Linked DNA regions of Rattus norvegicus. The protein of the gene in region 3 purifies or fractionates together with the protein of the main gene of each other region. This does not show direct contact. Links are inferred from orthologs where the notes say so. Each region holds a gene or a part of one and is shown on either strand. Other genes may lie near its edges.

Region 1 (3,500 bases), on a different chromosome or scaffold from region 3:
TAGAGGCCAGCCTGATCTACAGAGTGAGTTCTAGGACAGCCAGGGCTACACAGAGAAACCTTGTCTTGAAATATTGAAGGAAAAACAAAAGAATGGTGAGGTTGGGGTTGGGGATTTAGCCAGCTCTGGGGAAAAAAAATGGTGAGGTTGGAGGTCAGAGGTCAGAAAAGATGAAGCAATTGCGGGGGTTGGGGGGAACCCAGTGGGGGTGTGCCTGGTCCTCGGAGAGGGGGCAAACAGTTGCTTTGAGCCTTCAGTGCTGACCATTTTCCCACTTTGTGTCTTGGCCAGATGTCCTCTTACTACTGATGACAGATGTGCTGGTGTTTCTCCAGGAAAAGGACCAGAAGTACATTTTCACGTCCCTGGTGAGCCTTCCTCTGTTCTCTCATCCATTTTCTTACCCAGCCCAAGAAAGTCTTGCTGAGTCCAATCCCTATCTATGTAAAAAAAAAAGTGAGGAGGTTGGGTATTTAGCTCAGTGGTAGAGAGCGCTTGCTAGCAAGCACAAGGCCCTGGGTTCAGTCCTCAGCTCTGGGAAAAAAAGAGAGAGAAGAAAAAAGAAGAAACGTGAGATAGCCGCCAGGTCCCGCTGCTGTGCTCGGGCAGGTTTGCCCCGTCAGGGAAGCTGTCATTAACTTCGTTTTGTGGATGACGAAGGTAAAGTTTAGTGCCTGGCGGTCCATGCCTGTAATGTCAGCTCTTGGGAGTTAGCGACAGGAGGATCAGGAGTGCAGGGTCATGAACCACACGGTGAGTTCAAAGTCCAGCCTAGACGACATGAGACCCCCCACATCTAAAAAATAACTAAATAAGTAAGTAAATTTACCATTGGAACAGTAGAGTAGACCTTTCACCCCACCCTTGGGAGGCAGAGATAGGTAGATCTCTGAGTTTAAGCCAGCCTTGTCTACATAGCAAGTTCCAAGCCCATCAGGGTCATAGAGTGAGACCTTATCTCAAAAACAGCAACTACAGCAAAAGTAAAGCAGGCACAAGCCCCAGTGCTGGGAGAGCAGAGGCCCAAGGGTCACAACGTTGAGGCTGTTCGGGGCCACATAGTGAGTTCAACCCCAGTTTAGGTTACATAGTGAGACCCAGAAGAGAGGGGGCGGGGAAGAAGGGAGGAAGGGAAGAAGTTGGAGGGAAGGAGGGACAGAGAATGTATCAAGGGACCCACACGCACATCTAAATTGTCCTGGCTGGTACTGATGCCTAGGGTTTTGGTTATGTATCACCATGTTCAATCCTTTTGGTATTCTAGAACTGAAACCCAGATATTAAGGGTTAGGGTGCCTTGGCTGAATTCTTCCCTTTTCCCCGACAGGACAAGCCCTCAGTGGTATCCTTGCAGAATCTCATCGTAAGAGACATTGCCAACCAGGCGAAAGGGATGTTTCTGATCAGTTCTGGCCCACCTGAAATGTATGAAGTACACGCAGCATCTCGAGATGACCGTACTACCTGGATCCGTGTCATCCAGCAGAGCGTGCGCTTGTGAGTGTGTGCCTGCGTGTACATACGGCTTCCAGTCCTAGGTGGAATACTTCCGGGGACTTAACTCATCATGAGAGGTTGGGGCAGAAGCTGGGAATAGACAAGATGAGTCAAGATAAGAGAAATCACATGAAAAGTTGTAATTTATATCCAGATAACCCAGCTATCCCTCCAAAGCACTCTGAACTGACAACGGTTTGTGTAGAGCTCTTTGGTGGTGGCAGACTTGCCAGCCAGTGACATAGTGCCAGCCTCATACATCACTGGCAGTAGGAAGAAGGCTCTAGTTTTTTTTTTTTTTAAGATTTATTCATTTATTACATATAAGTACACTGTCACTGTCTTCAGACACACCAGAAGAGGGCATCAGATCTCTTTACAGATGGTTGTGAGCCACCATGTGGTTGCTGGGAATTGAACTCAGAACCTCTGGAAGAGTAGTCGGGTACTCTTAACCGCTGAGCCATCTCTCCAGCCCTTACCTCTACTTTCTAAAAATGAAAGAATGGGGGTGATTGAAGCATTGATGTTAGTGAATTGAACACGTTTTATCCAAAATGTTGAGGACAGCCTGGTGTGGCATTAACACCTATATTCCCAATGCCTGGGAAGTGGAGGCAGAAGGATTCAGAGTTAAAGGCCAACCTTAATGCATGAGGAGCTCAGGACCAGCTTGGGCTGAGGCCCTGTCTTAAAAACTACAATAGGCCCAGCAGTGGTAGTGCACACCTTTAATTTCAGCACTGGGGAGGCAGAGGCAAGTGGATCTCTTGCGTTCGAAGCCAGCCTGGTCTACAGAGTGAGTTCCAGGATAGTCAGGACTACAGGAGAAACCCTGTCCAAAAACCCAAACCAAACCAAACCAAACCAAAACCCAACACACAGTTAGTGCTGTAGCTCAATTGTTAGAGTGCTTGTCTAGCATTCTGGAAGCCCTGGGCCCCTCCCCCAGCACCACATACATCAATGCTGCAACCCACAGAGAGTCAGAAGTTGGCAACAATAACAAAAGTTGACAAAATGGCTCTCCCGATGATGCGACCAGAGCTAGAGGTGGATGCAGGCTTTTTATATCCTTTGTAAGCCTGAGTTAGAGAGATGAGGATTGGTGCCAAGAGGGACTAAAGCCACGGTATGAGAGGAGGGTCATGTGCAAAGGAGAGAACGCTGACTGTTAGTGTCTCCCACAAACCAACCTGCCTGTCGCTCTGCAGATGCCCGTCGAGGGAGGACTTCCCTCTGATCGAGACAGAGGATAAGGCGTACCTCCGGAGGATCAAGAGTAAGTTCCCTCCAGGGAGTGGGCTGATCTATACCGTATCCACACAAAATACCATGCTGCTCTCAGAAAGGCTGGCTCAAAAAGGGACTGGAGAGATGACTCACAGGTTGAAAGCAATGGTTTCTCCATCGGAGGGCTCAGGTTTGATTCTCACCAGCCTGGTGACTCCCAATCGTTTAACTCCAGTGCAGTGGATCTCTGATGCCCTGGGCCACCTCATTCACAGGCACATGCATGATGAACATACCTATGAGCAGGCAAAACTCACACAGAATAAAATGATCTCAGGGAAAGTGAAAGCTTCATGTGAGCTGAGAGTCTGTCCAAAATAAACATGAAAAAGAGCTGGGTTTAAAACAATGTGAAGTGTATTGGGGTGTGTGTGTGTGTGTGTGTGTGTGCGCGCGCGCGCGTGTTGGTATATGTAAAATAGACTACTATCTCTCTGTCCCAAGGGCATCTAGTGTCCCCTTGTGGCCTCTGAGGGCACTGCCTGCACATGGTGCACAGATGTACACAGTATATAGACATATATGTGGGCAGAACACCCATATGATTAAAAATAAAGGTTACTGCTGGGCTTGGTGGCCCACGATTTTAATCCCAGCACTTGGGAGGCAGAGGTAGAATGATCTCTGTGAGTTCAAGGCTAAAATGATCTGTAAATCTAGTTTTAGGACAGCCAGGGCTATTCACATAGAGAAACCCTATCTCGGAAAAC
Region 2 (3,500 bases), on a different chromosome or scaffold from region 3:
GGGCGCACTTTCTGAGTCCACGGGGTTAGGATCAATTCTTTCTGGAAATACTAGCTTCTCACAAACTGCTTCCTTAATTGGTAAATATTGTGATATTTCATTAGGTTCCGTGAAGAGGGAAGGTGGAACATGCTAGGAAAAACATAAAATCTTATTAGTATATTCTCAGTTGTGGCTCAGACAATTTCTGAAATTCTCTAGTATAAGCATTCACAAAGCATGCTAATTTCAAAACTGGGAAAATCACATCCATGTAAGAAGCATCATTACGTGTTCCCCTAAGTAACAGTATTTCCCATTACTGAATCATTCAACTGTGTTGTTGATCTTCAAGAGACCTGGTGTTACATGATTCACGGTGCTACTGTAAGTGCTGAGAGAATCCTACACATTTTGATCAAATCCCTCCCTAGTTCTGTTACTTGAGTAACTTGAAAGTCAAATCTTCAGTTAGAGCCCAGAGCATACTGTGTGAGTTACTGAGTAACTATTCTAACCCAAGCATACTCCATATTCAGACAGAATAAGTACTATGGCTAGAAAAATACTTATTTTGTAGAAAGGTACTAAGCCACTCAATTACAAAACCCAAGTACCCGGAAAAGGCTTCACACATTCCAGGGGAGCAAAAAATACAGGAAAATTATGCCAGAATACACAGACCCTGGTACAGAATGACCAGTTTTTGGAAGAAAAAAGAATGTGTAAAAACATATACATACAAATAACATTATAGAGTAAGTAGGATGTGTCTAAGTGTTTAGAATGTACATGCACAACAATTATGGAAGAAAACGAGACCATGAATTTGAAGATTAAGGTACAGCATGGGAGGCCTTGGAGGGGAAAGAGGAAACGTATGAACTATAGTATAATCTCAAAAAATGAAAAAATTAAATAAACATTCTAGAATGTCAAGGTGCTAAGTCAGAGGACCATCCACAGCACCAGCTGCAGCAATGGGACTCACGTCAGCCCTCTGCATCTCAGTTTCTCCCCAATCAGCAGTGGGACTCAGACAATGACAGCAAAGATCTCTAGGCGCCCTGGCGCTTGAGGCAAGCTCAGAAGAGATGCCCTCCAACAGACACTCCCTCCAGAGTGCAAGATAAGTTTGCTTTGGTAGGAGTAAAAGGACCTGGTCCCCACGGCTGGAACAGGGCACGTGACTCGTCTGTTTAACAATGTACACATTTTCACAGTCCTCCCTCGAGGAATGAACTCCCCGTTAACATTAATGACTTTCTGAGTCCATGAGGTGAAGGTGTAGCTAATGTCTCAGCAAAATGGTAAACGCTGGGATCTTCATCAAGAACTCTGAAAACATAAGTTCAAAAATATATAATATCTCAACTATGTAAAATACAAGGATGACATATAATTTATATGAGGGGCTTCACAAATCTAAAGGAACAAAAGCAGCTATGCTGTGAGCCAAGTTGTCAGAAAGATACAAGAAAGGAGATAAAGTGATTTAGGGAGTGGTGAGCGAAGGAGATCCTACCCAGCTACTTACAAAGGCAGACAGATTCCTGAGTTCAAGGTCAGCTTGGGACGGAAAGAATTTAGGTCCAGGCCCCACCCAGCTAGTTTATCTCTGTGCTTAACCAAAGGAGACAGATCTCTGAACTCTTCTGTGATGTTAAAAAAAAGAAAACCGTGTATGCTGGCTGTCTCTTAAGAATCAAGGGTCCTGGGGTACAGATCCATAGGATAATCAAAAGGGAACCTAGGGTAATGACTGAATTGATATTATAAACTGGGCATTTGATCATCAAGAGATGAGCCATCCAGAGATGGTTTTAGACCTGCAAGCAAAACCTGTCTAGAGCACAGCATAGGTTGTCAACTTGTACCTGCAATTTGACTTCCAGATGTTTGTTTCCCTGCTCTCAGACACTACTTCTCTAAGAACAAGCAGAGGATGGTCCTTGGCACACATGTTCTGATGCAAATTTAGATGAATGGGTGATACCAGACTTAAAATGAATTATTAGAATTCAAAATCTAAACACTTAAAATTTAAGTATTTACCATTAAATTAGCAATTTTGCTCTCTCTGGATGTATATTCTCGTAACATGTAGGTCTTGTCAGCCTATATTAAAAAAAAATCACAATATATTTTTATTTATTTATTTTACAGAATCCTCTGTATAAAACAAACTAAAAACAAGCAAACAAACGAAAAACCCCACCCTTCTGTACAGTTTTCCATCTTGTTTTGTTTTGTTTTGTTTTGTTTTGTGAGACAGGGTAGCCTGGGTAGCCCTGGCTGTCCTGGAACTTACTCTGTAGACCAGGCTAGCCTCAAACTCAGCCATTTAAAACTTAAGGTTAGGGGGTTGGGGATTTAGCTCAGTGGTAGAGCCCTTGCCTAGGAAGCGCAAGGCCCTGGGTTCAATCCCCAGCTCCGAAAAAAAAGAACCAAAAAAAAAAAAAAAAAAAAAAAAAAAGACTTAAGGTTAGGTTAAAAGAAGGCATGGTGGTAAATGCCTTTAATCCCAGCACACTAGGAAGGCAGAGGCAGGCAGATTTCTGTGAGTTCTAGGCCAACCTGGTCTGCACAGTAAGTGCTAAGATAGCCAGAGACATTAAAACAAGGAAGGAAGGAAGGAAGGAAGGAAGGAAGGAAGGAAGGAAGGAAGGAAGGAAAAAGAGAGAGAAGAAAAACAAAAGAAAGGCAGACAGAAAGAAAAGTGCAATTTATTACAATTTGCTTTTTGGATAAATACAGTTTAAAAAAACTAAAAAATTCTATTTCTTTAAGGTTGCAGTCTTTTTTATACCAATAAGAAACAAGAAAAAAATTAATGTTCACCATAGTCAATAACAGAAAAGTATAAATAAGAAAAATAAGTTATCAATCATAGCAGTTCTGGTAACACAGCCTTACTCATTTCAAAACCTCTACATCAGATCTTAAGTTCATACTACACTTTAAAAATTCAACCGTAAGACAATCAACTTTCCAAATTAGCTCAATTCTATTTCCTACCATCAATGTTGATGGGTGTCTATTTTTCTGCTACTACTATATGGATATAAAGAAATCAATCAAATTTATTAAGTTCCTCCATGTTATATAAACAATACTGCTATGAATGTTCAAGTATATACAACTCTGATCAACCACATGATATTTATAAATTACTGCATATTTTAGGAAAAAATTATTAAAAATAGAATTAAGTATAAACAGTATTTTTGAGACTTAGATTAGAGAAAAATGTAATACTTTGGTTTTGCTTATACAAAGGGAAAAGGCTAGCAGGTGTGGTAAGGAGTGCCTCTAACCTCAGCAAAGGAAGGTGGTTCTCCGAGACCAGCCTGATTGAAAGACTAAGTTCTAGAACAGCCAGGGCTACATAACAAATAGGACAGGGAAGGGGAGGGGGGGAGAATAATCACAGCCACTGTGTTGTTTCAAGGAGACAACAAATGTCTAAATAAAGGATTTGGGGGGAAATGTCAATCTAACCCAATCCAACCAGGTTCAAA
Region 3 (3,500 bases):
TTGGTTTGATTTGCTTGTTTTGTTTTGTTTTTTACCTTTATTTTTAAAACTTGTTGTAAAACTTGGCATTTTCTTTCCTTTCTCCTTTCAGCGGCTATGTGACTATGTTTGTGATCTGCTCTTGGAAGAGTCGAATGTTCAGCCTGTATCAACGCCAGTAACAGTGTGCGGGGACATACATGGACAGGTAAATTTCGCAAGGAAGTTTTAGTGTTTGTACTGCCAGTGATCCATTTGTTTCTAACTTGTGCTGCAAAATAAACAAAACAAAACCCAACTGGCGATTAGGTGGTGTGAGTCTTCATGCCATGAGTGGTTTTTGGTTCACTGGCAAATAAAAGCAGTGGTCAAATACGTCATAACCTTTTTCTGAATTCCACTTGTAAAGTATATAGATTGCTGTGTTGTTCTGTGGAACAGTGTGGGGCATTCTGTGAAGGTGGAAGACGCAAAATATAAGATAAACACTAATGGTAATTACAGTTAACATGAAATGGTTGGATTTTAAGCACTTTCTTGTTCATTCAATTATGTCTTATTAAAATCTGCTAATTTCTTTGCTGAGAATGAGAATAGCAAAGGTTCAGAAGAGAAATATTGCATAATTTTATAGCAAGTCACTGGTAGAATGAGATGAAAGCGATTTAGTTCATTTTTTTTCCATTGGGACTGTAGGATCTGAAATACCTGCTAAAATTTTTTCATTTTTTTTAACTTTAAATTTTATTATTTTAATTGGGTGTGTTGTGTACTGTAATGTGCATGTGTGTGCAGGTGTGCTTTGAGGCCAAAGGAGTTGGATCTCCTGGCAAGGGAATTACAGATGGTAGTGAGCCACCTAATATAGGTGCCAATAATTAAACACTGGTCCAGGAAGAGCAGCACACGCTATTAACTGAGCCATCTCTTCAGCCACCACCTGCTGCCTTTGTCTGTTTATAAGAATTCTAACTCACGGACTAGAGATTACAGTTTGACATTAGAGCCTACTGATAGTGTTCTAACACTACCTGACTGGAGAAGTTCCTCACTGGGAACTAAAGGCTGAGGAGTTTACTCATACCCTGCTGTGGACATACTTTATAATTGGGACAGTAGGACCTGGAATATGTTCCTAACAGTCACTCTACCATTCAACTGACTGACTGCCAGTTCCCTTCCTAATGTGATGGTGTAAAGGGAGAAAATGTGTCTAATTTGTTCCTGAATAGAGGCTGCTTCATAAATAAAAAAACAGTTTAGCTACCTTAAACGCTATTTCCTTTTTGCTTTTTCAAACACTTTTTTAGACAGTGACAGTCCTGCCTCAGCTGCCTAAGTACTAGGATCATAAGTAGGAGCTTCTTCTGTTTGTATTTTGGCTTGTCTGTTTGTTTGTTTGTTTGTTTGTTTGTTTGTTTTTATGTGTATGGGTATTTTTTCTGTATGCCTGATGCCTATGGAGGCTGAAAGAGGGCATGGGATTTCTTAGAACTGGAGTCTGGCATTACAGATAGTCGTTAGCTGCAGTACAGGTGCTAGGAACCAAAGCCAGGTCTCCTGAAAGAGCAGCCTGTGCTCTTAACTGCCGAGTCATCTCTCCAGCCCCTCTTTTGGTTTTTTGAGGCCTGAAACTTGGTATCCTTCTACCTCAGCTTATTAGTGGTAGCATAACAGGTGTGTGCCACCATACCATATGACCAAGACTTTTTAATATGTAAAAAATAAATATGAAATTGCAGTCTTTAATTTCAGGATCAAGTTATGAGTTTAAATTAATGTATTGGCAATAACGTGGTGATGAGAAACATTGGCATTATGATTAGGGAATAGATTATATACTTCAAAAAAATGTGGATTGGGCCATATACCGGCTACCTAAGCTACCTGAGCTTGCACACAGATTCTCTAAACGGGGCCTCCGGACCTTGCAAGTGGTAAAAGCAGGAGAGAGAGAGAGAGAGAGAGAGAGAGAGAGAGAGAGAGAGAGAGAGAGAGAGAGAGAGAGAGAGAGAAACTTCTAGTGCACAGGGTATGATGGTGCATACTTTTAATCCAAGTTTTGGGTCTGCCTGGTCTACATAGTGAATTCTAGTACAGATAATGGCTATGTAGAGAGACCCTGCCTCAAAGAACCAAAAGAAACAAAAAATCTTCTTGTGCTTTACTGTGACTAAGGGGAGTGACTCCAGTTTTGCTTAAGATTGTCCTCACTCAAGCAGCAAATATTATTAGGACCTCTTGGTGTGGAGGATACGCAGCTCTGTGCTCTGCTGTGGAATGCGAAACATCCCAGAGATAAGTTTTCCTCAAGGAAAAGTGTTCTTGGCTACTTTGAATCATGAGTTAAAAAAAACTGATACGACTTGCTCAGAGGAAAAGGAGGAGTATGAGGGAAGAGTTGTAGGAGAGGGTGATCAGAAGGGGGGCAGTGAGCAGGATGTAAAATGATAAATAAAATTTCTAAAGCTGCTTTTCTTTTGAGAGAAAAGTGACAAACTGGTTACTTAGACTTAGATATTGTAAAGATGAAGGAGGTAAACTAGTAATTTTAAAGGAAACAGTTGCTAGTGACAATATTTGAGTTTACTAATGAAAATTTTGGATTTGGGAAAGTTTCAGTTTAATCATGAACCTAACTTTTATTTTCTTAATACGGGGTCTCACTATATAGCTCCAGCTGGCCTTGAACTCACTATGTATGTAAACCAGGCTTGCTTAAAACTCCATCCATCCTTGCCTCTCAAGGACTAGGATTAAAGAAATGCCTGAAAGTTTCTGATACTTTTTAAAGACTTTTCTGATAAGTGATGATGTTAGCAAATATTTAATGACATATAAAGAAGTATCATTTCATACTCCTAATGACCAGTATATCATTTACTCAAAGCAGGTGGCAGTAGTCTGACCATATTGTGGTATGGTGTTATATTCATTCTAATATGATTTTAGATTTTATATTGTGAATTAATCTTTATTTGTCTTGTTGGATTTTGACATAGTATTTGAAATAAAGTATGCATTATTATATGAGAATGCTAACAAACACTGCTCCTCTTGGTGAAGCAGAGGCAGGAATTGCAAAATTCAAGGCTAACCTAGATCCAAGTTCTCTGGCAAAGCAGCCAATGCTTTTAACCTCTGAGCTACCTCTCCAGTTTCTACCAATTTGTTTTTACCTTCATGCTTTTTAGGTTTAGGAATTAGATTCTTGGCAGTTTTGCATATACACTATTTCTTCTTTCAAATGTAAATATTTGAAATCTATTAAACTGTTTCTATACATGTCTTATTCTCAATTTATCTTACTCATTCACAGGAATTTGTAATTAGCATATATTGATTTTCTTTTACAGTTTTATGATCTTTGCGAACTGTTCAGAACTGGAGGTCAGGTTCCTGACACAAACTACATATTTATGGTATGTAAATGCTGGTAATGCCAGGTGCTTCTTTAAAATAAAAGGTCCTGACTTATTACATGCAAGTTCTATAATTGCTATTTAAATGTATGAAAAGGT
Region 4 (3,500 bases), on a different chromosome or scaffold from region 3:
TTCATCCAACCTCTAAGTTAAAAGACATTTTCTACTTTGTCTAAAAAATTGCCTTTAAATCAATTGTTTGTAAGAATTTGTTTCTGGGCTAGAGAGATGACTCAGAGGTTAAGAGCAATGGATGCTCTTCCAGAGGTCCTGAGTTCAAGTTCCAGCAACCACATGGCTTACAACCCACTCTGTTTTATTATGTCATTTCCTACTTAAATATAGCTTCACCGCTATTCACCAAGACCCACGCAACTCACACCTAAAACTCATGCGAGGAAGGGCTGACCTTACTATCTGAGCAATGATGTGACTAAACCTTTAGACAATCTTGGCCCGTCATAGACTTCTGGCTTCCTATCTGGAAAGTAGAGAAGACACTTACTTGAATGTCTAACTAATATGAGAAGTTTGTCTATTATAAAGCATGTTGTACGTCTGGAGAAGATTCAGAACATTTTAGATGCTTGTGACTCACTGTTGTTGGCTCTAGAATCAATTGTGTGCTCCATAACTGTGTAGCTCTTGACCATCTTGTCCATAGTTCATAGTGGCTCTAGGGAATTCTTAAACATCAAATAATCATTTTCTACCCCACCCTAAGGCAAAGACGTCATTTTCTTACTTGTATCGGATCTTTTCATCCATGTCTTGAGGTGGCTCTTCTATAATGAATGAGACTAAGTCTTCCAGACATTCTGCTTTTAACAGAAACTCTATGAGCTTTCGGTTCTGTGCTTTACATTCCTGTAAAACGTCCTCCTCGTCCATTAGCTCCTTCAGTGTTACATCTTCTCTCTCTAGAAGCGTGTCTATGTGGGATGATGAGTGAAGATCAAATTTCCAAAACATGCTGTTCTAAACGAGACAAAGAAAGATTTTCATAAAATTCAGGCTTTACTAATTTTCCACAAACCAAATTTCAGTTCAATTTTGATCTACAATGCCAACTTGGCATTGACACAAAAATAAAGCAGTTTCACACTTAACTTGCAAAATGATTTAATGAATAACACTAGTAGGATTTTTTTCTTTCTTAGAAAAAAATTTTAAAGAATTTATTTATTGGCTTTCTTTTTAGACTTTTTAAAAACTTTATTCACTTTTATTTATATGTGCATGACCTGCACGGAATGGTCCTGGAAGCCAGAAGAGGCTGGTAGATTCTCTAGGACTGGAGTTAACAGATATTTGTAAGCCACAAATGGGGCTGGGAATCGAAATTAGATGCTATCACTCCATCCCAGAAAATATTTTCAGTTGGCTAAAATGTTGAAAATGCTGAATACAAAAGTTTGGAATGATTTTAACCTGTAAAAGCATTTCATCCAAGTCAGCCTGGCACATACCCAAAACTCTTAAATTTTCAAGAGTGAGACAGGATGATCACAAGTTCTTGGCCAGCCTGAGCCACACAGCAAGAATCTGTCATCCCCCACCCTCCCCCGTCAATAAAAGTAAGAGGAAAAGAAGTAATTCATTCATACTTTAAGAATTTTTATGCTGGCTAGACACAGTGGCCTGCATCTTTAATCCCATCATTCTAGAGAAAGATTTGAGAGGATCTCTGTGTATTTGAGGACAGCCTGGTCTACATAGTCATCACCAGGATTCTATACAGACGCCCTGTCTCAAAAAAACAAAACAAACAAAAAGAATGCTGAAGGAGGATATCATGGCTCAGCAGGAAAAGGAGCTTGCTGACAAGTCTGAACACTAGAATTCGATCACCAAACTCCAGGGTGGAACGAGCTAGATTTTCCAAGTTGTCTTCTGACCTCTACAAGCATGTTGCCCATTAATTTAAAAAAAAATTTTAAGCAAAAATATTTCATACCTCAAATTCTACCACTTGGAGGGCTAAAGCAAGAAAATTACTGCATGTTCAAGTCTAGTCTGGTCTAAAAGAGAAAAACTGGAGGGGGAGGGGGAGAGGGAAGAGGAGAAAGCAGGCAGGCAGGGAGACTGAGAAACAGACAGAGACAGATAAAGATCAAGAATGACAGCAACTTGGGGTTGGGGATTTAGCTCAGTGGTAGAGCGCTTGCCTAGCAAGCGCAAGGTCCTGGGTTCGGTCCCCAGCTCCGAAAAAAAAAAAAAAAAGAAAAGGGGGAAAAAAAAAAAGAATCACGGCAACTCTTTTTTTTTTTTTTTTTGAAGGATGAAGAATAGATTCTTCAGAGAATTGCCATCTTCAACAACAAATGAGAATGAAGAGGCATAGCCAGAGCTTCCCTTATAACAGAGGAATACCACTGTAAAGCTGCAGGTGACTTCCCTTATAACAGAGGAATATCACTGTAAAGCTGCAGGTGACTTCACTAATAGCTAAAAGTCATAGAGTACCAGAAAAGAACTAAACTTTACAACTTCAAGAATTAAGACAAACTTACTATCCTAAGTCACTAAGAGAAACAGCTGACAGTCAACCCCCAACAATACTATAGTCTTTCCTCAACTTGGTCTCCATGCCTACAACCATGAAATGCTTGTTCTTCAAGTCACAGAGCCAAAAAGGCATTCGTTTGTTACGTATGGAATGTGGAAGAGGTCTCACAGGCCACTTCTAACCAGAAGGTAATAACAAGATGCAGCCATCCAGCACCAGGTCTCTGCAGCAACAGAACCAATCAGTCCAGGTATGCTAGCCTCTGAAGGGGTCAGAGACTTCCTTGAGAGTTGAGGCACAAGGCTACCATGTGCTCAAACAAAAGCTCTCCATCAGCTACAGCTTAGCCACCCACCCAGTCAAGTGCATCCTGGAAGGACTACCACCAGAAAAGCTCACCAATATCTACATGTTTTTACAAGCAAAAGGAAAGGTCCTACCTATGTAAAGCGGACCTACCTTTATACCTGTATGTTTTGCTAAATCACCCATACTTGATGTTCTCAAAATCACTTTCTTAAAGTAGAAAATTTAGGAAAGGGTGATGGCACTTAGTGATCCTAGCGCTAAGGAGGCAGAGATGAGTGGATCTCAGTTTGAGACCAACTTGGTCTACAGAGTGAATTCTCATGACAGTCAGGGTTAGACAGAGGAACCCTGTCTGGGAAAAAAAACACAAACAAGTAATAAAATAAATATAGAGGAATTACAGAGGCAAACTTTACTCATGCTCCTAGTCAAAGTGACTGACTGACCCAAAAATGAGAGCTGAAAAGCAGACTGTGCACAGTGGGTTGTTCCAAGGAGCGTCCCCTTCACATGGCAGGTGCTGAGCCTGACTCTCCAACAAGCAACCTCATTAAGAAAAGTTCAAGAAACCTTAGGGAACAGTTTCATAAAGCAATACTGCTAAGTGTCAACTATCACCAAAGTCAGTTTATAACACCTTTACATGCTCTCAAGGACACTGGCAAATCTGCTCACAATCTTGAGCTGCAAGAAGACTAAGAGCCAAGGAAGGACAAACAGCAGCTGCTCGGTTCACATGACCCAAATTCACACTCCTCACTTGAAAAGGATACATGAGGGGTGGGGAAGCAAACAACACAGCTCCACCGGGAGG
Region 5 (2,741 bases), on a different chromosome or scaffold from region 3:
GTACCTTGTCTCCTGGTAGGGTCCAGCCCTGAGACTTCTATTGCACCCTGAACTTATGTGGAGCCTCAGAGCGTTTGTACGGGCTGCAAGCCATTTCCAGTATCCTGTATCCACAGGCTACGCCTTATGCTCCTGAGCCCCCCCACCTGCTCTCTGCACCTGAATGTCAGGGCTGTGAACTCCCTGGTGAACATGGGCTTAGTTATGTGAGAGTCACTGGGTAGCTCCTCGACACCTCGGTCCTGTATCTTCTCATCTTGACCACTCAAAATAGAAACGCTTGCTGGAGTGGCTGGCCTCTTTGCAGGGGGATAGTGACATTCCTGGTTCCTTCCCTAGGGAAGGAAGGCCTTCAGACGACACCTCAGGAGGACTCTGGCTTGTCCACCTGTGAGTTGCTTCTACTTCCCAGCCAGGTCTTGGACTACAGACCCAGTCCCCAACCCTGAGGTGTGCTTCGTCCTACTGTGTGAGCATGCAGGGCACCTGACTGGAATCAACAAGTACCCGACCATAAAGGGCCCGGCACAAGAAGGGCAACAGGAAAGGGCTAGCCAGAGCCATATGCTTGCCCTATACAAAGTTAAGGGTGATGGGCCACTTTTCTCCCACTATCTGAGACAACCCTAGAGTTAGCCAGTCCCAGAGCCTGGAAACCAGGTATTCTATGAAACTGGCCTCTAGTGGAGACTGTCCTCCCAAGTTCCTGGGGAGCTCTTGGGACACCCAAGTTCTATCTTCTACTCTTAATCATTTAAAACAGAAAATACAAGTCCAGCCCTCCAGTTGAGCCTTCCCCTTGGTAAAGAGGCACTGTCTTTTCTAGAGACAGCCTCACAGGATCATTAGCCATGGTGCAGCAGCAAGGAGTTCCAGTCTGGCCTCCACCTGTTTTCAGGGAGCTGACATCTGGCCACTGGGCCCTGTTCTCAGTGGCTACAAAGCTAGTGACTTGTAGCCCTCAGAAGCCACACGGTGTTCACAGGGCCCCCAGGAAAACTTGGCATTCCCTTCGCACCTGCCAGCAGCAGCCTCTGCTGTCCTGGGTGGCGGGGAGGCCTTTCCAGTATGGCCTGCGCACAGAGCTTCCACAGCACCCGCTGCCTTCTCGTCATCTTCACTGTCAGATCCCCCAGAGGAGCTGCTGTCAGAGGCTACCAGTGGGGCCTTCCTAGTGACACACACGTTCCAGGCACAAGGCGAGGTAGGACCAACTATAAAAGAAGAAATCCTGCGGTATCTGTGAGGGCAGAGGAGCCAGAGACCACAGCTACCATGGCCTCAGTGACCTTGGATTTGCATGAGCCAGTGTGAAAGATGAGAGGCTGATGTTGGCTCCCTGAGTGTTAGACGTGTGTATGTGCGTGCTCTCGGGAACCACATGGACTGCTATGTATGTGGCTTCCGTGTGGACTGTCCCACTGCTCCACAGGATGAGTAGGATATGTGTGTGCTCTTCTCAGAGCAGGAAGCAAGGGGTCAGAGATGCCACTTCAAACCTAATGCCCAGAAAAGACGTCAATCTTCTCACCTGCTCTAACCCAGTCCAGTTTCCTGGGAAGGAGATGAGAGCAAGGACTTTTCAATCAAGTCCCATGTTGGCTTCCCATCAGGGACACATCTACATAACTTAATGTGACTCAAAGATGCAGGTGGGTTGTACGGTACAGACCTGAGCCATGAGGGCACCCTAGTGGGTATGTTACCCTGCCCTGTACCCCTAAAGCTGGAGGACCCTAAAGCTCTTCATGTATTGCACAGTGAACAGTACATGCCAACTCCAATCCCACAAGTATGTAAGGATCCCAACACCACAAAGACAGCCACACCTGGGGCCTTAACCACTTCCCACTTTCTCAATGGGGTCTAGCCTTGCGTCAGGCCTGGGAACTAGTCAAGGCAGGTGTCTGAGCTGCTGCTACTCACAGGCTTTCTCTGGGCCTGGACTCTGGCCACCCTCGGCATTGCTGTGGTCCATGTCCACAGGAGAGCTGCACCGGGGCCCTGTCTCAGAGCTATAAAAGAAGATGAGGACAGGCTGAGCCGATTGGGCAACGCCGGTCCTGACACCCAACAGGCATGACTCCATTTCTGATGTTTGTTACCAGCAGAAAGGCTGGAAGTCGGTGAATTTGGCCCAGCCTTTCTCCTCTGCAACTGAAGGACCAGCCGCCCATGCACTAGAACCCACATCCCTCGCAGCTCCTGAGGCTGCAGACAGCGGGTTCACTGGCTCATCAAAAACTGCTGTCCATGTAGTACCTGCCAGAGGGAGATGCAGCAGTCAGGAGTAGGCAGGCCTAGTATGTGACAGACACGGGAGAAGCAGCACTCACGGAGATAGGGAGAGGATCATCAGAGATGAACAGGAATGCAAGATGCTCCCAGTTAGGAGTCCTCAGAAGAGCACTCCCTGTCTCAAGTGACAGGGATGGCAGCACTCCCCAGTAGTGCCTACTGGGGCTTTGCAAAGGGTAGTATGGCCTCCAACCCTGAACACTTGGGAGTAAGGGCCCCTGTAAGTTACCTGGAAAGGGTCTTGTAAATCATCTACTGGGACAGAGCGCATGTGTGGGCGTCAGTGTTTGCTGAGGCAGTGCCTCATGAGATAACTGTAAGGCCCCGTCTAGCCTCCAGGAAGGCTGATGGTACAAAGTAGGTACCATCTCACCTGTCCCAACCCAGGTCATAGCAGGCTCTCTGCTCCCTTTGATGCTGGCATGGGTGGCCCCTGCTGTGGG
Region 6 (3,500 bases), on a different chromosome or scaffold from region 3:
GACCAGGCTGGCCTCATGCACCGCCACCTCCCGGCTAACATTTATATTTGGTGTAATATGTAATGATCAGTCATTTTAAAGGCCTAGTCAGAATTGCACCTTGGAAGGTGAGGCTCACAGCAGGGGGGAGTAAATGGATGGTGGGGGTTGAGTAAGGAACGGCGATGGTGAGCTTGAACTGTCGGCCAGCCCTCTTCTTCTTCACCTGGGAGCAGTAATGCTCAGGGCGTCTTACCCCTGGAGGAAAGGAGAGTCAAGTGTGGTCTGAAACCAAGATGCTAACATCCAGATCCTTGAGCAGGTCTGGGAAAGAACAGGGAGCCATGGACTATAACACACCTCAGCTCTGCAGGAAGATTCGCTCCTGAGGTGTCAGGCTCCAGCGTGAAGGCAGAATTGATTCTGAGCCTGACTCAAGGGCACAGGGCCCACAAGCCACTGTCTTGCTACCCGTCTTCTCTCTTCATGGTCACAGTTCCCAAGCCCTGAGTTGGGGTTTGTCCTTTACTTCTCTAGCATTGCGAAAGTCTCTTTGCTTTCCACTGTATTTATCCGTCTCCGTCTGGATAAACCCCTCCACAGGCTGAAGCCTCTAATAACCTTGGGCTATGTTTTTTTGGGGGGGGGATCATATTCAATTTTGATTCTTTTTCCCCAGGAGGGCAGGGGGTTGAGGATACAGGCGTTCTCAGGATAACCCATTGGGGAGCAAGTGAGCTCTGAATAATTACATTGATAGGTGGATATTTCTTTTCTCTCGCCTTTGTGGCGAATGGAGTAAATTGGCTTCAGTGATTTTAATTTCCCTTGTTGGGTGCTTTGCAGATTGATGAAATCAATGTCTATGGAAACACAGCACTTCACATTGCCTGCTACAATGGCCAGGATGCTGTCGTTAATGAGCTGATCGACTACGGCGCTAACGTGAACCAGCCTAACAACAGTGGCTTCACCCCTCTGCACTTTGCAGCGGCGTCTACTCACGGTGCTCTGTGTCTGGAACTGTTAGTCAACAATGGGGCCGATGTGAACATTCAGGTATGACACTCCATCTCTCTGCCTTAAACACCTTTGCACCGAGCCTTTGAGCCAACCTAACTACTGTCAGTTTTGCTGTGTTTTCCTGAATCGGAAGCGCTTCGATTCACGTAGCCTTATCCTGGATGGAAATGCTATGGAAACAGCTAGGTTGCCTCTCTGGGCATGATGGTATCAGCATGTAGGCAGGCACCAAGTCTCCAGTCGTATCTCCTTTGTGGATTAATGAATGCTCCAGGATGAATATCAGGCCTTGAAGGCGCTAACTCAGCCTATATTTTAGTATAGCACAGTTAGCTGAGCGGGGAGAGCTGCTGAGAAGACAGAGGAAGGACTAACTCATGACTGTTCCCAATCCCAGCATGCCCTTCAAATGGTTTTCTTCAGCAAGCTGTTCTTTGGTGAAGGATCATTGACCAGATAGTGGCGAGCACTCCATCAGCCACGGAGTTGCTTAAGGACTGCCCTGCTCTTAGTTTGACAGCAGAGGAAAATCCAAACATGAGATGAGATCCCTGGCCATTACTGATTCACAATACAGGAGATAAAACCCACTCAGGCACTTGAGGCAAAACGTGATGAGTGCCAAGAGAAGAAGAGGAGTAAAACTTTGCGAAGTAGATGACGCACATATTGGCTTGTCTATTGTTTGGGGATTAAAAAAAAGAAAGGAGTTTGTTTTTGAGCAGAGTATTTGAGAGGAGCCACAGAAATAATTCGGGAGAGGGCATTCCCAACAGAGAATAGTGTGCACGAGCCGTGGATAAGAGAAGCTGTGTGCGAATTGGTGACTTTTCCTTCCTGCTTGCATTCGGGACCCTTAGAGCACAGTTTCAGGATCTTCCGTGTCTATGTTGAAAAGTCATGGTTTCAAAAGTTTAATTTCAGGACTAAGTTTAATTCAAGATATTTTAGAACCTCTATTTACCATTAGATATTTTACAGTTTTTCTTACAGTCTCTCTGTTCTGTGGCCATGTTATTTTTAAATTCAAAAGAAAGCATTTTTCATTCTGAGGAGGAAGAAAGGTAGCTACAGCAGACCTACAAATGGGATGGCTTCAAAATAACTGGCAGTTAGTGAAACTGAGGTAGGTAATGAGTCAGGCCGAGGAGTGGGAGGGGCCAATGAGGAGTGGGAGGGGCCACTCAAGGGAGAAGCCTATCGGAGGGAGAATTATCAAAGGTTGGCAAGACAAGGGGTAGGACCTGAAGATGAGGAATGGAATCTTGGAAGGGGCGTGACACTATAGAATGGACACATCTTTGTTCTGAGGCCAGACTGCCTTAACTAAAAATGACCTATGTCTTGTAAAATAAGGGAAATAATAGCATCTTCTTCGTGGGCATGTTGTGAAGATTAAGCACGGTTGTCATACCTAATTGTACAGCTCAGAGCTGTCATACAGTAAGCACTTGATATTGTTCCCATTCACTAAGAGGATGGCAGGAGCTAGAGTGGCATAGGAGGCAAGCTGACTCTTATTTATTTTGTGTGTGGGTACAGTATATGTGCTATAGCACACATGCATGTGGGTGTCAGAGGACAACTTGCAAGGAGTTAGTTCTCTTCTTGTATTATGTGGGTTATGAGAATCGAACTTGAGTACCCTGAGTTGGCAGTGAATACCCTTCCTTACCCACTGAGCCATCTCACAGGTTCTGTGTCTAAGTTTTGAGAAACTCATGTTGAGCCAGGTTGGGGACACAGTGGTAGAAAATGTGATGTTTTAGCATAGAAGGGCAATAAAGATATGAAAAAATAGTTCTTAGATTGCTTCAGTCACATAAAGGTGACAGGAAGGGTTGGTTGCCATCCAAGGAGAGAGTATATAACAGTATGACTGGAGAGGCTGAGGGAAGACTGGAGGAGAAAAAAGACACAGAGCACAGGATGAGAAAGAGTTAGGAAAGGGTAGAAAGAACTGAAGGAGTGTAATATCTTCATGAAGGTCTGAGGCTTGTGGAAAGAGAAAAATAGAACCAATGAATAGTGATTCAGAGCCCCACATTCTATATATGGAGCCCATACAGGGTCTCAGGAAGAGGTGAGAAGGCATTAAAGCAAGGAGGAGACCAAGGAGACACAAGAAGCTCACGAGAGCATTAGTGGGTCTTTAAAACTAAGGAGGATAATGGGCATTAGATAAAAGCAGTATCTTTGTGACCGTCCACTTAGTTAACTCACGAGTTGTCTAATATTCCCCACACCCCACAAAATGCACCCTAGTGCTTTGATGCCCAAACACACCTCCTTCAGCCTGCCTGCCTGCTTCTTCCAATTGGCTGCCCAGTGCTCAAATCAGATAATGGATGTGCCCTGTAGGGGTTATGTGGTCAGCCTGTCTCCTTTCCCATGGACTAGAGGAGCTGGAGAAATGGCTCAGCAGTCAATAGCTCTTGACAGTCTTGCAAAGTACTTGGTTTTGGTTTCTAGTACATAAATCCAGGGGGTTTAAAACC

Evidence for each region.
Region 1: the proteins of Ppp6c (region 3) and Arhgef2 purify together in Homo sapiens (affinity purification with mass spectrometry; 4 studies listed by BioGRID and IntAct, with this or other methods). This does not show direct contact. The link is inferred for Rattus norvegicus from reciprocal best matches to the Homo sapiens genes PPP6C and ARHGEF2.
Region 2: the proteins of Ppp6c (region 3) and Tiprl purify together in Homo sapiens (co-immunoprecipitation; 4 studies listed by BioGRID and IntAct, with this or other methods). This does not show direct contact. The link is inferred for Rattus norvegicus from reciprocal best matches to the Homo sapiens genes PPP6C and TIPRL.
Region 4: the proteins of Ppp6c (region 3) and Ppp6r3 purify together in Homo sapiens (affinity purification with mass spectrometry; 10 studies listed by BioGRID and IntAct, with this or other methods). This does not show direct contact. The link is inferred for Rattus norvegicus from reciprocal best matches to the Homo sapiens genes PPP6C and PPP6R3.
Region 5: the proteins of Ppp6c (region 3) and Ppp6r2 purify together in Homo sapiens (affinity purification with mass spectrometry; 9 studies listed by BioGRID and IntAct, counting the BioPlex papers as one, with this or other methods). This does not show direct contact. The link is inferred for Rattus norvegicus from reciprocal best matches to the Homo sapiens genes PPP6C and PPP6R2.
Region 6: the proteins of Ppp6c (region 3) and Ankrd44 purify together in Homo sapiens (affinity purification with mass spectrometry; 5 studies listed by BioGRID and IntAct, counting the BioPlex papers as one, with this or other methods). This does not show direct contact. The link is inferred for Rattus norvegicus from reciprocal best matches to the Homo sapiens genes PPP6C and ANKRD44.

What each region holds. Positions count from the first base shown.
Region 1 is NC_086020.1:176,405,599-176,409,098, forward strand, and holds part of Arhgef2 (rho guanine nucleotide exchange factor 2), read left to right. Parts: intron 1-291; coding exon 292-368; intron 369-1,327; coding exon 1,328-1,497; intron 1,498-2,711; coding exon 2,712-2,779; intron 2,780-3,500. UniProt on the Homo sapiens protein: Activates Rho-GTPases by promoting the exchange of GDP for GTP.
Region 2 is NC_086031.1:80,061,041-80,064,540, forward strand, and holds part of Tiprl (TIP41-like protein), read right to left. Parts: intron 2,098-3,500; coding exon 2,035-2,097; intron 133-2,034; coding exon 1-132. UniProt on the Homo sapiens protein: May be a allosteric regulator of serine/threonine-protein phosphatase 2A (PP2A). Isoform 1 inhibits catalytic activity of the PP2A(D) core complex in vitro. The PP2A(C):TIPRL complex does not show phosphatase activity.
Region 3 is NC_086021.1:43,351,308-43,354,807, reverse strand, and holds part of Ppp6c (serine/threonine-protein phosphatase 6 catalytic subunit), read left to right. Parts: intron 1-91; coding exon 92-187; intron 188-3,335; coding exon 3,336-3,401; intron 3,402-3,500.
Region 4 is NC_086019.1:210,188,310-210,191,809, forward strand, and holds part of Ppp6r3 (serine/threonine-protein phosphatase 6 regulatory subunit 3), read right to left. Parts: intron 847-3,500; 5' UTR 841-846; coding exon 614-840; intron 1-613.
Region 5 is NC_086025.1:122,231,044-122,233,784, reverse strand, and holds part of Ppp6r2 (serine/threonine-protein phosphatase 6 regulatory subunit 2), read right to left. Parts: intron 2,263-2,741; coding exon 2,106-2,262; intron 2,016-2,105; coding exon 1,927-2,015; intron 1,215-1,926; coding exon 1,019-1,214; intron 1-1,018. UniProt on the Homo sapiens protein: Regulatory subunit of protein phosphatase 6 (PP6). May function as a scaffolding PP6 subunit. Involved in the PP6-mediated dephosphorylation of NFKBIE opposing its degradation in response to TNF-alpha.
Region 6 is NC_086027.1:63,743,941-63,747,440, reverse strand, and holds part of Ankrd44 (serine/threonine-protein phosphatase 6 regulatory ankyrin repeat subunit B), read left to right. Parts: intron 1-825; coding exon 826-1,038; intron 1,039-3,500. UniProt on the Homo sapiens protein: Putative regulatory subunit of protein phosphatase 6 (PP6) that may be involved in the recognition of phosphoprotein substrates.